Macaca mulatta: one gene and its partner. Each later gene encodes a partner of the first gene's protein in a complex. Links are inferred from orthologs where the notes say so. Each region holds a gene or a part of one and is shown in the gene's direction. Other genes may lie near its edges. The genes, in order: IL22RA2 and IL22.

What was found.
Region 2: the proteins of IL22RA2 (region 1) and IL22 are in contact, whole or in part, in a crystal structure (PDB 3G9V), measured with the Homo sapiens proteins. The link is inferred for Macaca mulatta from reciprocal best matches to the Homo sapiens genes IL22RA2 and IL22. Residues at the interface, in NP_443194.1 of Homo sapiens: Lys65, Ile66, Tyr99, Gly100, Gln101, Arg102, Trp104, Gln128, Glu129, Pro130, Tyr132, Met148, Pro150, Arg151, Thr153, Trp155, Trp156, Glu157, Glu200, Pro246, Met247, Leu248, Asp249, Arg250; in NP_065386.1 of Homo sapiens: Phe47, Gln48, Pro50, Thr53, Asn54, Phe57, Met58, Lys61, Ser64, Leu65, Asp67, Asn69, Thr70, Asp71, Val72, Arg73, Leu74, Lys162, Gly165, Glu166, Asp168, Leu169, Met172, Arg175, Asn176.

What each region holds. Positions count from the first base shown.
Region 1 is NC_133409.1:42,252,606-42,260,218, reverse strand, and holds part of IL22RA2 (interleukin-22 receptor subunit alpha-2), read left to right. Parts: intron 1-2,785; coding exon 2,786-2,921; intron 2,922-6,113; coding exon 6,114-6,292; intron 6,293-7,613. UniProt on the Homo sapiens protein: Isoform 2 is a receptor for IL22. Binds to IL22, prevents interaction with the functional IL-22R complex and blocks the activity of IL22 (in vitro). May play an important role as an IL22 antagonist in the regulation of inflammatory responses.
Region 2 is NC_133416.1:75,368,594-75,376,784, reverse strand, and holds IL22 (interleukin-22 precursor), read left to right. Parts: upstream 1-2,770; 5' UTR 2,771-2,793; intron 2,794-2,881; 5' UTR 2,882-2,927; coding exon 2,928-3,113; intron 3,114-3,557; coding exon 3,558-3,623; intron 3,624-3,739; coding exon 3,740-3,883; intron 3,884-4,812; coding exon 4,813-4,878; intron 4,879-7,555; coding exon 7,556-7,633; 3' UTR 7,634-7,738; downstream 7,739-8,191. UniProt on the Homo sapiens protein: Cytokine that plays a critical role in modulating tissue responses during inflammation. Plays an essential role in the regeneration of epithelial cells to maintain barrier function after injury and for the prevention of further tissue damage.

The sequences.
Region 1 (7,613 bases):
AGTCTGGATTTCAGATCTGCCATTTACCATGTAGGAAAACTTGGGGACTTTACTTAACTGCCTCAATTTCCTCATTAGTTGAATGGGGATTCTAGGTCACTGTGAAGATTAAATAAGTTAATATATGCCAAATGCTTAGAGAAGTGCCTGGCACAGGATAGGGACCACAAACAGCAGGTGAGAATTTGTTTCTGGTATTTGTGGAAGACACTGCAGGAGTGTAGAGCATCTTATCACCACTGCATACTTCTGAGCAAGCCTGTAAGAATCCAAGTTTACAGATGGGTACCTCTCAGTGTAAGTGATTCAAGTAACTTGCCAGTTGTCTAGTGACTTATACATAAAAGCAATTCAAGCCTTAATCTTGCAGAAATGTTTGGATTTGAGAAGACTCTGGTCCTTGGTAACAGCAAGGACACATTTAGCAAAATATGGCAGGAATTCAAATGCTACCAAAATGTTCCTGGCTCTGCATCTTACCAAGCCTGTAACCTTGAGTATGAGATGCAACTTTTTAAAGCCTCATCTTCCTCATCTGTAGAATGCGATAATAAAAATATTTACCTTACTTGGTGACTGTGGGAATTAAGTAAGTTGTAAAGCTTTGAACATAGTGCCTAATATAAGTTAATGTTCATATATGTTCAATGTTTGATGAATGCCAGCCAGAAGGAGGAGGAGAGAAGAAGGAAAAAGATAAAGTATACCCTCAGCTTCTAATTGGTCTGTCTCTTTCATTAGCTCCTCTCTCCCATGGCTTTGCTCTTGGCTTTCTGTTGGAGGGAAAAGGCAGGCTCTACAGTCAGACTGGATACAAAATCAGCTTCACCATTTGCTGCCTGGCAAGCTCCTTCGGGTCTCCAAGGCTTCGTTTTTTCAGTCTGTAAGAAGAAGACCATAATGCACAGTACTTTCCTCATAGAAGAGCTGGGTAAATTAAATGAGTGAATGCAGATAAAAGTCCTTCAGTGCCTAGGCCAGTGTTGTTACTGTTGGTGGTGGTAGCACTGATGTTACAAAAATGAGAGAAGAAATCCATAGACAGAGAGATAAAGGGCATTAAGCCATCTATCTTCATGTTAGCAAATCAATTCTAGGCAGGCCTTCAGGAAATTGTGCCTATCATCTCCTGAAAACTCCTGGAATTTTTATGTTCTAAAGATGATTGATCAGGCAGTGATTTTTGTGAGCAAAATCAATTGTGGCTGTAGACTCTTTCCAAGAACACAACACCATTTGATGCACTGATGGTGGTCCAAACAATAAAAGCGAAAACAAATTAAAAAGCAAATAACAGTATTCACACTATTTGGTTGGTAAGAAGAAAGGCCTGAGGAAACAGTCTTGTTCATTTGAAAATAACAAATCTTGAAAGTTCAGAGCTGAGACCATGGGCTTGGGAATATTTTTTTAACCATCTCAATAATGTGATACAAATGAGCAAAGACTTGAAGGAGGTGGAGAAATGAACCATGTGAAATCCAGGGGAAGATAGACCAGGAAAAGGGAAGGGCCAGTGCAGAGGCCCTAAGGCAGAATCATCAGGGTCATGGTGGAGCAAGTGAAGGAGTCAACGCTGCAAACACAGGGGTCGGGGTGACAGAAGATGAGGTCAGGGAGAAAACAGAAGATATGCTCCCTGGCCGGGTGCAGTGGCTCACACCTGTAATCCCAGCACTTTGGGAGGCCGAGGCGGGCGGATCACTTGAGGTCAGCAGTTCAAGACCAGCCTGCCCATCATGGCGAAACCCCGTCTCTACTAAAAATACAAAAAAATTAGCCGGGCGTGGTAGTGGGCACCTGTAATCCCAGCTACTCGGGAGGCTGAGGCAGGAGAATCACTTGAATCTGGGGGGCAGAGGTTGCAGTGAGCTGAGATCGCGCCACTGCACTCCAGCCAGGGCGACGAGTGAAACTCTGTCTAAAAGAAAAAAAAAGATATGCTTCCTGACTCCTCCTCCTTCTGCCCAACTTCTTATCCCTTATAAGAAACCTTGAACCCTAAACAAAATTTTGCCAAAGTTCTCTTGCCTCCATGTGACTAAAGGCAAGTGAGGTTGTAGCACCTATGTTGCATGATTCGAGGAAGAAAGCACAAGTCATGCCAGTGCAAAATTATCCCATCCCCTGCCATGATTAGTCTCAGAAACACTGGCCCCCCAGCAGGGTCTTGGTCTGTTTTCCTCATTAGCATGGCCATTTCATCTGAGGGATTATGCCTGGATACTTGGAGCCAGGATGTAGGCAGGTAAATGCAGCCATTCAGGAGTGGGACAGCAAAGGCAGACCTACTTGGAAGCAGGACCCAGCGATTGAGCAAGAACCTGTGAAAGGAGGGACTGAGTTCTGGGCTGAGATCCTGGAGCCAGAATTGGTCCCTAGCAAATTTTGCTTGAGTAGTACCAATATAGTGGTTCCTAAGAAGATGGTTGTTGGTCTCAGTGTGGGTCCTTCATCTCAGTCATTATATTCCATTGCTATTTGGGGATAAAATAATAGCAATATTTTTTTACTACAATTTACTTCCCCTACAGCCTGGGAAATAGGGTGGGAAGATAGCATGTACATGTTTATGATCTGGAACTCATCATTCTGAGACTTTAGCGTGTATCAAAATCATTGCATTGAAGATTCAAAATGTTGATTTCTGGGCTCCACCTCTACTATCTGCACATAGAGCAACTACTTTAGGGAATCCTGATGCAGGTATTCCATTGAAAACTACTGCTGGGAACAACAGTGCTCCTAGCAACGTTCAATGTTCTTCCTTCTCTTATTATCTTAGGAACTCAGCCAGCACATGAGTCTCTGAAGCCTCAGAGGGTACAATTTCAGTCCCGAAATTTTCACAACATTTTGCAATGGCAGCCTGGGAGGGCACTTACTGGCAACAGCAGTGTCTATTTTGTGCAGTACAAAATGTAAGTAAATTGAGCCTCCTTCAGCTGACAGAGATGGCACTGGGATAACATGTTCTAGAATGCAATGGAGTGTTAGGATCTGAGCTTTTTCTCCATTTCAGAGGGGTTGAGAAGAAGCCAAGGTCAGGATAGCAGTGACTTGTCTCCCCTGAAGGCTGCCTGGGGACTCAAAATGCATGATGGTATGCAGTGCATTGGGCAGATACTTCAGCCCTAGACCTGCACCAAGACCTCACAGGCTCAGCCTTCACCTCCATAGTGGAGCCTGGCACATGGTGGATTCTCAATACAAGTTTGTCAAGCGAATGTTGGAAGCAACTTATTTAGCACATAACAAATACTCAGTGAATGAAACTATTGATAGTTGAAAAAGAAGTTGTGGCAAACATGGAGGTGATGTGTAAAATAAGTTTTTAATCTAAAAGTCACTTTCAGAGTGGATTTACTATTTAGAAAATTCTGTTCAAAAACTAATGAGTCTCGTAAGCATGAACACAAACTGGAACACGCTGCTGCATGTTCCTCTCGTGTGATACTCAGGCTACTCCTACTGGATCATTGCCAAAACTCAGATATAATCTACACCTTTCCTGGCTCAAGGCTTGGAAACAAACACTCCTGATTTGAAAATGTCAGGTTTTTCCACTCATATATTTTTGGGGGGCAAGGGGAGTTGAGGCTCAATCCTGTCTCCTGACAGTGAGACAGGAGATATTACAGTTTAACTTTCATGGTTTTTCACTAGAAATTCAGAAAATCAAATGCAGCTATGGCCAAAATAGCAATTTTTATCCCATAAATTCATCCATGTCTCTCCAGCATGGGGTAGGTCCTAGGTCAGATTTTCCCTCTAATTAATTTCAGAATGAATATCCCCAGAAGCATCTCCATCTTTAACCACTACTACTTCTCTCTACATATCTTATGTAACAATTGTAAAATTTGCAAATCTTTACAATGATCGTTTCTTCATTACAAAAGTAGATTTGTGCATAGCTGGAGATACTTTCAGCATGTAGGAAGTAAAGATTGGTACTATTTTTATACTTCTCCTTGAGCAGTATAAATAGGTCAAAAGTGAACCTATTTGTAGACCAAAGTACTAAGAAGATTAGAAACTGTTTTACCATGCATCTAATGAAGATTAAACTTCAGGACCTCATGCAAGGATTTTATATTTATAAATCTTTCCTTAAAGAGGACTCCCAAGCTGCTATGGTTTGAGTTTGTCTCCACCAAAATTCATGTTGAAATTTGATCCCTAGTGTGGTGATGTTGGAAGTGGGGCCTCCGAGGAGGTGTTTGGATCATGGGGATGGAGTGCTCATGAATGGCTTGGTACCATCATTGCTGCAGTTGAGTGAGTTCTCACTCTTGCCAGACTGAATTTGTCATGGAAATGTTTCTATCAGAGTGGTCGTTGTAAAGCCAGGATGCCCCTTGAGTTTGGTCTCTTCACGCGATCTGTTTTCCCCATGGACCTTCTCCAGCATGTTCTTATGCAACATGAAAAGCTCTCACCAGAAGCCAAGTGGATGCTGGCAGCACACTTCTTGTAACTTCCCAGGCTGCAGAACATGGGCTAAATAAACCTCTTTTCCTTATCAATTAGCTAGCCTCACGTGTTCTGTTATAGAAACACTAAATGGATTAAAAAGATTATATAAATTTCAGACCCCAGAATACCTGAATCCATTCCTGTCTCTAAGGGATTTTCAACAGCACAGGACAAATTTATAATTTTGCAAACTTTCACTTTGGTGTATCCAGTTCATGGACTATAGTACTGTTATATCCCTCACATTTAGAATGGGATAAACAATGAGATATTATGTTAAAAGAGAAGTCAGTCATTACAGCTAAGTTAAAGACTTATTATAAATAAATAATAATTTTAAAACATCAAAGTATACTCAATACATGTTGTGGTACTGCTTTAATTGTGATAGAATGAAATTGCTATCACCATGTAGATTACTGAGTACAGATACTGTCAACCTTCCTTATTATGTGTCTAGAAAGTTAGATTTCAAGTCTTTCAATAAATAATTTGGGAAACTTTTCTCCCCAGACTCCAATTCCTTCTCTGTTCCCCACCATCACTTTGTTGCATTGGTCTGATTTATGGCAGGTAAGGAAACAAAGCGTGAATCTTCCCTTTGACTATTACACCATCCTGTGGCCTCAGGCTGAGTCAACCTCTCTGCCTCTTGCCTCACTACCTTTTTTCATGGGTTTCACTCCCCCTCTCCCAACCTCTAATTACAGGGCTCCATATATAGTCCTCACTAAAACTTCCCGTCAATTTTCAATAAAGAGATTAATCATGTATGTTGGGTAAGCAGCACCTGAGATGAAAAGTGGTAGCAACTTCTCAGAAGCAGCCACATTACTCAATAGCGAGCTGATGAGAAGTGATGAAAAACCACAAACACTCAAAACCACAGAGCATTAAGGATGTGGAGAGTGAGTATTCAAAAATGGAAGTCAGTCCTCACACCTGAAAGAACATTATGCCAACTATTAAAAAATAAGTTAAAACCCTTATGTTAGTGATACAGAAAGTGTCAGGGATGTTTATCTTCCAGCAAGACAGCACTTCAGGTAATGCTGTGGCTTCTATGTGTCCCCCAAAAGCTCATGTGTTGGAAACTTGATCCTAATGCAGCAATGTTGAGAGGTGGGACTTTGGGGAGATGATTGGGTCATGAGGATTCTGCCCCCATGAATGGATTCATCCATTGATGGATTAACGAATTAAAGTGTTATTGAGGAAGTGGGCTAGTTATAAGAAAAGTTGGTCTGTTTTTTATATATATATGTAAAAGCCATGTCTCTTGAATGCCTATGACATCCTCTGCCACCTTAAATCTCTGCAGAGAGTCCCCACCAGCAAGAAGGCCCTCACCAGATGTGGCTCTTAGACATTAGACTTCCTAGCCTCCAAAACTGTAAGAAGTAAATTCCTTTTCTTTATAAATTACCCAGTCTCGGGTATTCAGTTACAGCAACAGAAAATGGACTTAGACAGTTAATAAGAAGGAATTTTTTTAAAGCTTCTGAAAAGTAGCCATAAGCTATCATGGTGATATTGATACTAGAATCAGGTATAAAGAATTATCAGTCTGAAAATATTGAAGACTCCTTGAGTGGAGAAAAGAAACTCAGATCTTTGCCTTTTCCCCGCTACAGATATGGACAGAGACAATGGAAAAATAAAGAAGACTGTTGGGGTACTCAAGAACTCTTTTGTGACCTTACCAGTGAAACCTCAGACATACAGGAGCCTTATTACGGGAGGGTGAGGGCGGCCTCGGCTGGGAGCTACTCAGACTGGAGCATGACGCCGCGGTTCACTCCCTGGTGGGAAAGTGAGTTCCATGGAGTTTCTTTGCCCTTGTTCTTCCTGCTTTTGGACAGCCCTCCCAGAGCACGGCTAGTGACCAGGCCTTGTGCTTTGCTGAAGGCTCTACATAGTTATCTCATTTGGTCTAATTATCAGAACAACTCTAGGAGATAGCTTTTATTATCCTAATTTTCTAGCCCAGAACATCAAGATGTAGAGGCTTTAGTCATTGGTCCAGTCTCATGACCTGTATTATACAAGTCAGGGTTCACATTTACTGCATCTGACTGAAGAGCCTGTGTGTGTGTGTGTGTGTGTGTGTGTGTGTGTGTGTGTGTGTGTGAGAGAGAGAGAGACAGGGTCTTGCTTTGTCACCCAGGCTGGAGTACAGTGGCACGATCTTGGGTCACTGCAACCTCTGCCTCCCGGGTTCAAGCGATTCTCCAACCTCAGTTTCCCAAGTAGCTAGGATTACAAGCGTGTGCCACTATCCCTGGCTAATTTTTGTATTTTTAGTAGAGACGAGGTTTCACCATGTTGGCCAAGCTGGTCTCAAACTCCTGACCTTAGGTGATCTGCCCCCCTTGGCCTCCCAAAGTGCTGGGATTATGGGTGTGACTCACCATGCCCAGCCCTCCAAAAAGTATTTTTAGACAGCAGAATTTGTCATAGTGCCCTAGTCCTTCCCCAAACATGAGGGTTAAGTTCATGAAAATAGAAGAATTTTCTGTTAAGGAAATTAGACTTTTAGTCTCACCTCCCCAAAAAGGCAGACCAAAAGTGCTTTCTCAGTATCCATCCTGAATGATATTTATTCCTCTTTTAGTTTAGTCACAATCATAGAATAATATAATCTAAGATATAGGTGATAAAATGAACCATTACCAACAGACATTGGCTAAAATAGTAGGGAAAAGAAAGAGAGAGAGAGAAGGGGTTTAATGTATAGATATAAAGATGTGCATAAATAGAACAAGAAAGAAAATAAAGATATTTACCACAGTCCTCATAATTGCAACTAATCATGAAGCTGTAGTTAATATTTATGACTTCTTCCCTCATTATAAACTCAACATTCATCTTCTTTTCAGCCAGCACTTCAGCTTTTTATCCATGAGGAGTTTCAGTCCTTTTGGTGTTTCCTATCTCAGCTTGACCTAACCTTACATTATTTTTTATTGCTGAATAGAGAAGGTCTAAGAGGCACACTTGAGGCTACCAAGAATTCTTCCACCTGACCCCAATGTATTTATTACTGTATTATGCCTTGAAAATCAGAATGAATCACCCCAGACAATATAAGAACCTCATTTTCTTTTTGTTAGCTAAATGGCACAAGGAGCTCC
Region 2 (8,191 bases), on another chromosome or scaffold:
TTTTCCATTCAGGAACAATAAGCTGGTAAGCAGGACTGGGTCAAACACCAACTTTAGAAATATCATGAAGGCAGTCAATATGCTTATATTGAGTCCTTCCTATGTGTGTAGCACTGTTCTAAGTGTTGGAGTTACAAAGACGAAAGACACAGAGACTCTTCCCTTGAAATCACGTAATTCAACAATGTCAAAACTTATTTTCCCATGGAAACAAAATTATGTATGCTGGTCAGTTTCCCAGGCAAACCAACAAAAGCCTATTTAATCCATGAATAGCTTAAATCTAATGCTAATAGAATTGTACAGAGTTCTGGGCAAAAGTGGCCCTATATAATAGGAAATTGAATAAGGAAGGTTTCATCATCTTTTCTCGGGCTCATGGTCAACCCAAGGAAACATTTGGAACATACCTATTTTTTTTTCAATTTAACAAAAGTTATCTCATTTTTATTTGACAAATAAGAATTGTATATACAGTATTTATGTTACACAATATGATGTTTTAAAAATTACTTATTTTTTAAATTGACATTATCATTGTACATATTTATGGAGTATATTTTGATATTTTGATATAAGTGTATGCTGTATAATGACACAATTAGGTTAGTATATCCATCACCTCATGCATTTATCATTACTTTGTGGTGAGAATCTTCAAAAGCTATTTTGAAAAATACGATATTTTCCTGTTAAATATAGTCATTCTACTGTGTAATAGAACACCGAAATTATTCCTCCTAATTGTGTCTTTGTACCCGTTGACCAACCTCTCCCCATCCCGCTTTCCCCACTTACTTCCCCAGTCTCTGGTAACCACTGTTATATTCTCTGCTTCTATATCAGCTTTTTTTTTTTTTTTTAGATTCCACATATGAGTGAGATAATGCAGTATTTGTTTTTCTGCATCTGATTTATTTCACTTAACATGATGTCCTTCAGGTTCATCCATGTTATTGCAAATGACAGGATTTCATTTCTTTTATGGCTTAATACTATTCCATTGTGTATATATACCACATTTTCTTTATCCATTCATCCATCTGTGGATACTTAGGTTGATTTCATGTATGTTTTGATATATGCATATATTGTGGAATGGCTAAAGTGAGCGAATTAACATATATGCATTACCTCACACGGAATTTTTTTTTTTTTTTTGGTAATGAGAACATTTACAATCTATGCTCTTTGTGATTTTTAAGCATAACATATATTGTTCTTAACTATTGTTGCCACGATGGACAATAGAGCTCTTCAACTTATTCCTCTTCTTTAACTGAAATGTTGTATCCTTTGGGTAACATCTCCCCAACTCGCTGCCCCTTGCCCACCCAGCCCCTGGCAACCACCATTCTACTCTTTCTTTCTATGAGTTCAAGTGTTTTAGATTCCACATGCAAGTGTGATCATGTGGTGTTATTTACTCCCACTAATCTTCCTTTTTGCTTCTTTCTCCTCTGGCCACCTTCACAAATGCTCAGTGTCCTCAGGTGGTTCCAACTCTTCCCAGTGGCACTTTGCTGAGGTCTGTGCCATCTCAAAAAGTGGTCTAGGTTTTACAATTATTTACGTCCCTTCTCCCAGTTCTTCAACACTCCTGATCTTAACTAGTTGTGAGGAGAAAAATCTGATCATACAAATTTGCACTAATTCACATTCCTTCCCTCAGCAATAGGTACTTGCATTTTGATAGTTGCACTTGCTTCCTTCTCTTGCTCTGCGGGAGAATTTCCAGTCTAGTTTTAGGTGTATTTTTAAATAATTTAAAGGTAATGTGGAACCTCTATATTCCTATATTCCCTTCCTCAGACATCCATGTATGTGTGCATATATATGTGTGTGTATATATAGTATATATATACATATATATTGTGTATATACACACATATATGTGTATATGCAATATATACACATACAATATATACATATATACACACATATATAATTGTTATAAGGTTATTTGGAAATATTATGTTGAGACCTGTGTGAAGTTTAGAATTAGGTAAAATTTTAACTATATCCATGGTATTCTTTTCTTTTAAACAAAGTTTACATGTTAAGAAAAATGGTGATCAGATTGTTCAGCATTAGCATTTACAAACTTAAGTGGACATTGATTATAATTCAATTAATACAATTTTAAGATACACTTGCTTCTGCCTTGTTAGGATCACTTAAAAATAGTCCCAGAAAGGGAAGAAAACAATAAGTAGATTAGCCAAGACTGTTATTTTTGAAACAGAAGTCTGGTTTAGAATTCAGCATTTTAAAAAGGAGATAAAATTATTTTAATAATGGAATGATCTGTAAGCTGTCATTACCATTTACTTTAAAGCAGAGGATATAGGACACGGGTCCTTTTCTTCTGATCACCTCCAATGAGATAAGAATCTATAAAGCGGGTAGGAAAATGAGTCCGTGACCAAAATGCTTACTCAGCCACTATAGGAGATCAAAAAATTTTATACTAAATCTGAACTCTACTAAGACAAAACAATTGTTTTCTTTGAAAAATATGTAGGGTTTAGAAAATTTCTGGGATTTGTCTGTAAAATACCCCCTGGGCTCTAATAGTGACGTTTTAGGGAAACACTTACATCTCAAGGTGGGAAGAATAGAGGTGGTGTTTTGTGGGCTCCTGTGGTGGTTAGGTCGTTCTCAGAAGACAGTACTGGAAATTAGATAATTGCTGATGTCACATTTTGCACAATTAAAAAAAAGTCGGTATCCTGGGGGCTATAAAAGCAGCCGCTTCTACCTTCCCCATCACAAGCAGAATCTTCAGAACAGGTAAGCGTTTCGGCAAACTTGGTACAATTGGTTAGTTTGATGAAATACTTCTTGACTAATTCTGTTCCTTCACGTTGTTTTCGACCAGGTTCTCCGTCCCCAGTCACCAATTGCTCGAGTAAGAGTTGTCTGCAATGGCCGCCCTGCAGAAATCTGTGAGCCCTTTCCTTATGGGGACTCTGGCCACCAGCTGCCTCCTTCTCTTGGCCCTCTGGGTGCAGGGAGGAGCAGCTGCACCCGTCAGCTCCCACTGCAGGCTTGACAAGTCCAACTTCCAGCAGCCCTATATCACCAACCGCACCTTCATGCTGGCTAAGGAGGTATGCATCTCAATGCTGCGCTTTCTCATTGGATCTACTTGGAACCCAAATAGTTCTTGCACTTTTCTTCAGAGCACCTCTAAGAGCTTTAGGAACCCATTGTTTATCCCTGCTGGCAGATAAATTTTCTGTTTTTTCAGAGACTCTTTGGGAATCTGGCCGTTTTTTTTTTGACTTGAACTCCTTCCTTCCATTTTGGTCTTTATGATACATGTGATGAATTTTCCCATTCATGTTTTAAACTCGGCCATTCAGTAACCCATCTGATGATTTTTTTTTTCCTTTATGCCTTTGTGTGTTGTCCTAAACTTATGCACACATCTGAATTCTGTTTCTAGTCTTTATGGGGTTGCTCTGGGGAGAGGGGATGGGGCACATGTCTACGTACAGATTTTTTTTCTATCTGCTCAATGTCCAGGCACTTACTCTTTTCTTCTCTTCCAGGCTAGCTCGGCTGATAACAACACAGACGTTCGTCTCATTGGGGAAAAACTGTTCCGCGGAGTCAGTGTAAGCTACAGTTGTGACGAACAGGGCCGTGTGCCGTCCATGGGTACTTGGATTGGTGGTAATGATGATTTAGGACTTATCCCTTATGACCCTTGCTGTTTCCCTTCCACCTGTAGATGAGTGAGCGCTGCTATCTGATGAAGCAGGTGCTGAACTTCACCCTTGAAGAAGTGCTGCTCCCTCAATCGGATAGGTTCCAGCCTTATATGCAGGAGGTGGTGCCCTTCCTGGCCAGGCTCAGCAACAGTCTAAGCACATGTGTAAGTTCAGCTCTCAGCCTATGCCCATCTACCCCTCCTTCCCTCCTTCTTCCACAGAGACCCCCTTACCCCGATTCTCTCTTCTCCCCTCTACCCCTAAGCTAGCAGGAAGAAGCGTCTTGGCAGCAGTATTATCAGGAGTCATTTAGGATCACAGAGTGTTTGTTTTTGCTTTTGATTGAGTCACATCTTGAGTTTATAGTGGTGAAGGGGGTCTGGAACTTAAGTGTATAGAAGCCGCATTGGTTTGTCTCTGGAAAAAAGGCAACTCAGTTTGTGTAAGGTGAGAAAGGTGTTGGGAAAAACATCTAGATGTGGAAATGGATCCACTGAGTCTAAGTTGTTGAGGGGAGGGGATGGCATGGAGAGAAAGTAGAAGACAAAGTGGGAAATGGGAAGGCTTAGTGTCAGCGGTGTGTCGGCAGACTGTTGCCCTGCTGATGTCATGGGAAGTGACAAAATCGGAGGCGTGTGAACTTGATGCCGCTGAACATATGAAACTACAAAAAAAAGTTTGAGTGTAGTGGGCCCAGTCAAAGGCCCTAGGACTTACTGAAGAGGGCTTAATTTTCACATGAGATGTTTTATGTACATTTCTTGTTCTGAGCATGCTGTTTTGTGGAGGTATGATTGAGGTTTTATTCCTTACAGAATTTGCATAAACCACTCCGCTGTTTCCACAAACGCAAACCTCAGTAGGATTTCCCAAAGATGAAGAGAGGTCTCTTGTAAGGGAAGTGACTGGAGTCTGGTGTCCAAGGGAATTCAAGAGCTCAGGAAATCTAGGTCACCGTTGAAATCTAGGTCATTGTGGGCAAAATTACTAAGAGTTTTAATTCCAGGTGAATTGTACCGTACCTCCACGGGTGTGGAGGTTCGTGAAGTTTCAGCACAACATTAAGATAGTTATTCTTGTTTTTGTTTTATAGCACATTGAAGGTGATGACCTGCATATCCAGAAGAATGTCCAAAAGCTGAAGGACACAGTGAAAAAGGTAGGACTGATAACTGTCAATGCTAAGTCATGCAATAGGAGAGACAAATGCTGTTTTTCTTTCCTTTCTTTCTTCCCACCACTTTGTGATTTTTCACTTGATTCTCCTACCACCAGGGTGATTACTTTGGTGTCTGTGTCTGCAGAGATATCTCTATATCTAGAAGTCAGTTTCCAAATTTTGCAAATTGTAGAATTCTAGAACCGGCTGGAATCTTAGGTTGTCCAGTCACATTACCTCACCTTCTGGGGAAGGCAAGTGGCAGAGACAGGGCTGAATACAGGTCTCCCGAATCCCAAGCTAACACTTTTCCCGGCAGTGATACAGATTAGTTTCATTAATTCTTAGGGAAATTTCAGATTCCTATTGACTCATGTAATCTGAAGAAGCACTTGTTTAAAAACAGAAAAGTGCCTATGGGCAAATTTATTTGAAGTCATTTTTGAAGGCATTCATGCATTGCTTTGAAACTTGGAGGAATAAACTCAGAACAACAATAAAAGAGCTGGACTTGCATATAGGGCTAATTTCTGGAGTAATCGATGCTTATTTTTAATTATCATAATATCTAACAACTATTGATTTTAGTTTAAAATCAAGAGCAGATAACACCTGATCTCTTTTATACAAGTTCAAATAGACTAAAAATGTTAGTAAGAGATTTATTATAGTTAAATGGAAGTCTGAATTGGTAAGCCTTTTTTTCTTCCTCTCTCCCTTCAAGACCTTCCATTCTAGTTTCTTCCTTCATTCCCTCAATAAACCCCTAGTGAGCATTTATCCACGGTGGGCTGGTGTACATTTCTATAGTGAATGATACCATCATGTGCCCTATTTGGTGAAAAGAACAACAATGGAAGACTTAGACTAACAATAGTGACTCACCCCAAAACCAGAGGAATGATTAGGAGCAGTGAAAGTGATGTTCTTACAAGCAGGTCCAAGTAAATACTCAGAAACATGAAGGCTCCAGTTGATGGAATTTTCAGTAAGAAGCTTAACCTTAATTCCCCCTTTTTTCCTCTTGACTTTTTAAAAAAGCATTTCTTCCTGAGCATCATTTAATGAACATGACTGTTTCTTCCTTTGATAATTGAAGGCTTTGTAGTTTTATATTGTGAAGCTCAGTTCTCTTGTTATGGAACTATTATCTAGACATGGAGGGCTGAATGTTAGCATGTCACAGACAAGACGTGCTTTACACATCTTGCTTAAAAAATTCCTGATTTCAGCTTGCTTGTTGTCTTTAGAAAAGTGAAGTGTGAGAGAGGAAAATCTCATGGTGATCTGGGTGATTTTCAAGGCCTTTAATCCATTTTGAAAGAATCAATTTCCTATTTTCAATGATTTGCCACATGGAAGAGTGATTATGCTTTTTTGCTGGTACCTTCAGAAAGTACAGGCGGGAGAGGAATGTTGTTCAGAGAAAGATCAACAGGAGGAGAAACTGCCAGAGCTGTCTGAAATAGGGTGGTCTCGGGAGGCATTAATTCCCTCTCGCTGGGGGTAAAAGCAGAGCACAGGCTGGTAGTAAAATGCATGACAGACAGTAGGGGAAGATAAACTTTAAAATTCTTTACAGTCTTGGAGTCTTTGAGATAGAAAAGCATATCTTTTTGGCTTTATGTCAAAAGAAGTATGGAAAGGTGAAAGGGCGGAAGAAAGCAGGAAAAGAAAGAACAATGTACTGTATAGAGGATAATGGTGACAAGGTTTTTCTTGAAATAATGCAAATATGATAGATTAGAGGAATTTCAATAGGGAATGCTTTTCACTTGAATTTGGGTTTCCTCTTCCATTAAGTTTGGGAGCCTCATCTGCATTTGACTTGGAGGGAGAAAGAATGAATGTTAGGACCTGTATCTGGTTTTCTATTAACTAAAGCAAGTGGAAAAGACTTATTTGACATTTTTCCCACAAAAGTGAAAACTTGTCTTTTACTCTTTGTCAAAATGGTGGAAACAGAAAAAAACTCAATGTATTGGTAAATATATGGTTTGAAGTCTTCCGAGCTGAGATGTTTTAAATCAGGAGTGTCCAATCATTTGGCTTCCCTGGGCCACCTTGAAAGAATTGTCTTGGGACACACATAAAATCCACTAACACTAACAATAGCTGATGAGCTAAAAAAAAAAAAAAAAAAAAAAAAAAAAAAAAAAAAAAAAGGTCCATGCATAAATCTCATAATGTTTTTAGAAAGTTTATGAATTTGTGCTACGGTGCATTCAAAGCTGTCCTCGGCCACGTGCAGCCCGTGGGTTGTGGGTTGGACAAGCTCTTTATAAGCCATCTGTCATAGATAGTTTTGGAGTTGCAAAACAGGCCAAGGCATAATGGGTGGCACTCAGGATCCCCCAGACCCCAGCCTCACTTCAGTCTGCTTGCTCTGGTTAAGAAGGGGTGGTCAACCCTCTGCCCAGCTTTTAAACAGCTTCATTAGTGTGAGGTGCACCTGAAATTGATGCCTGCTGGTGGCCTCTCAGTCCAGAGAGCTGTCATTTTAAGCTCTTTGGCAAATCATACAATACTCTTGCTAAAGGGGTATTACGATGAATGTTTTACAAATGCTTAAAACTCGGTTTCTGTCTCCATCAACCTAATCTTGCAATTTCTAATTTGTTCACTTTAGAAAACATGGCATAAATGCTCAAATACTTTTGCATTCTTATTTTCACAGCTTGGAGAGAGTGGAGAGATCAAAGCAATTGGAGAACTGGATTTGCTGTTTATGTCTCTGAGAAATGCCTGCATTTGACCAGAACAAAGCTGAAAAACGAATAACTAACCCTTTTTCCCTGATAGAAATAACAGTTAGATCCCCCAAAGCGATTTTTTTTTAACCAAAAAGAAGATGGGAAGCCAAACTCCATCATGATGGGTGGATTCCAAATGAACCCCTGCTTTAGTTACAAAGGAAACCAATGCCACTTTTGTTTGTAAGATCAGAAGGTAGACTTTCTAAGTATAGACATTTATTGATAACATTTTATTGTAACTGGTGTTCTATACACAGAAAATAATTTATTTTTTAAACAATTGTCTTTTTCCGTAAAGAAGATTACTTCCCATTCCTTTAGGGGAAAAAATCCCTAAATAACTTCATGTTTCCATAATTAGTACTTCATATTTATAAATGTATTTATTATTATTATTATAAGAATGCATCTTATTTATATTTTATTAATATGAATTTATTTATAGAAACATTATTTGATATTGCTACTTGATATTTATGATAATAATTATAGAGCTATAACATGTTTATTTGACCTCAATAAACACTTGAATATCCTAAGTCTTGTGGCTTTGTGAT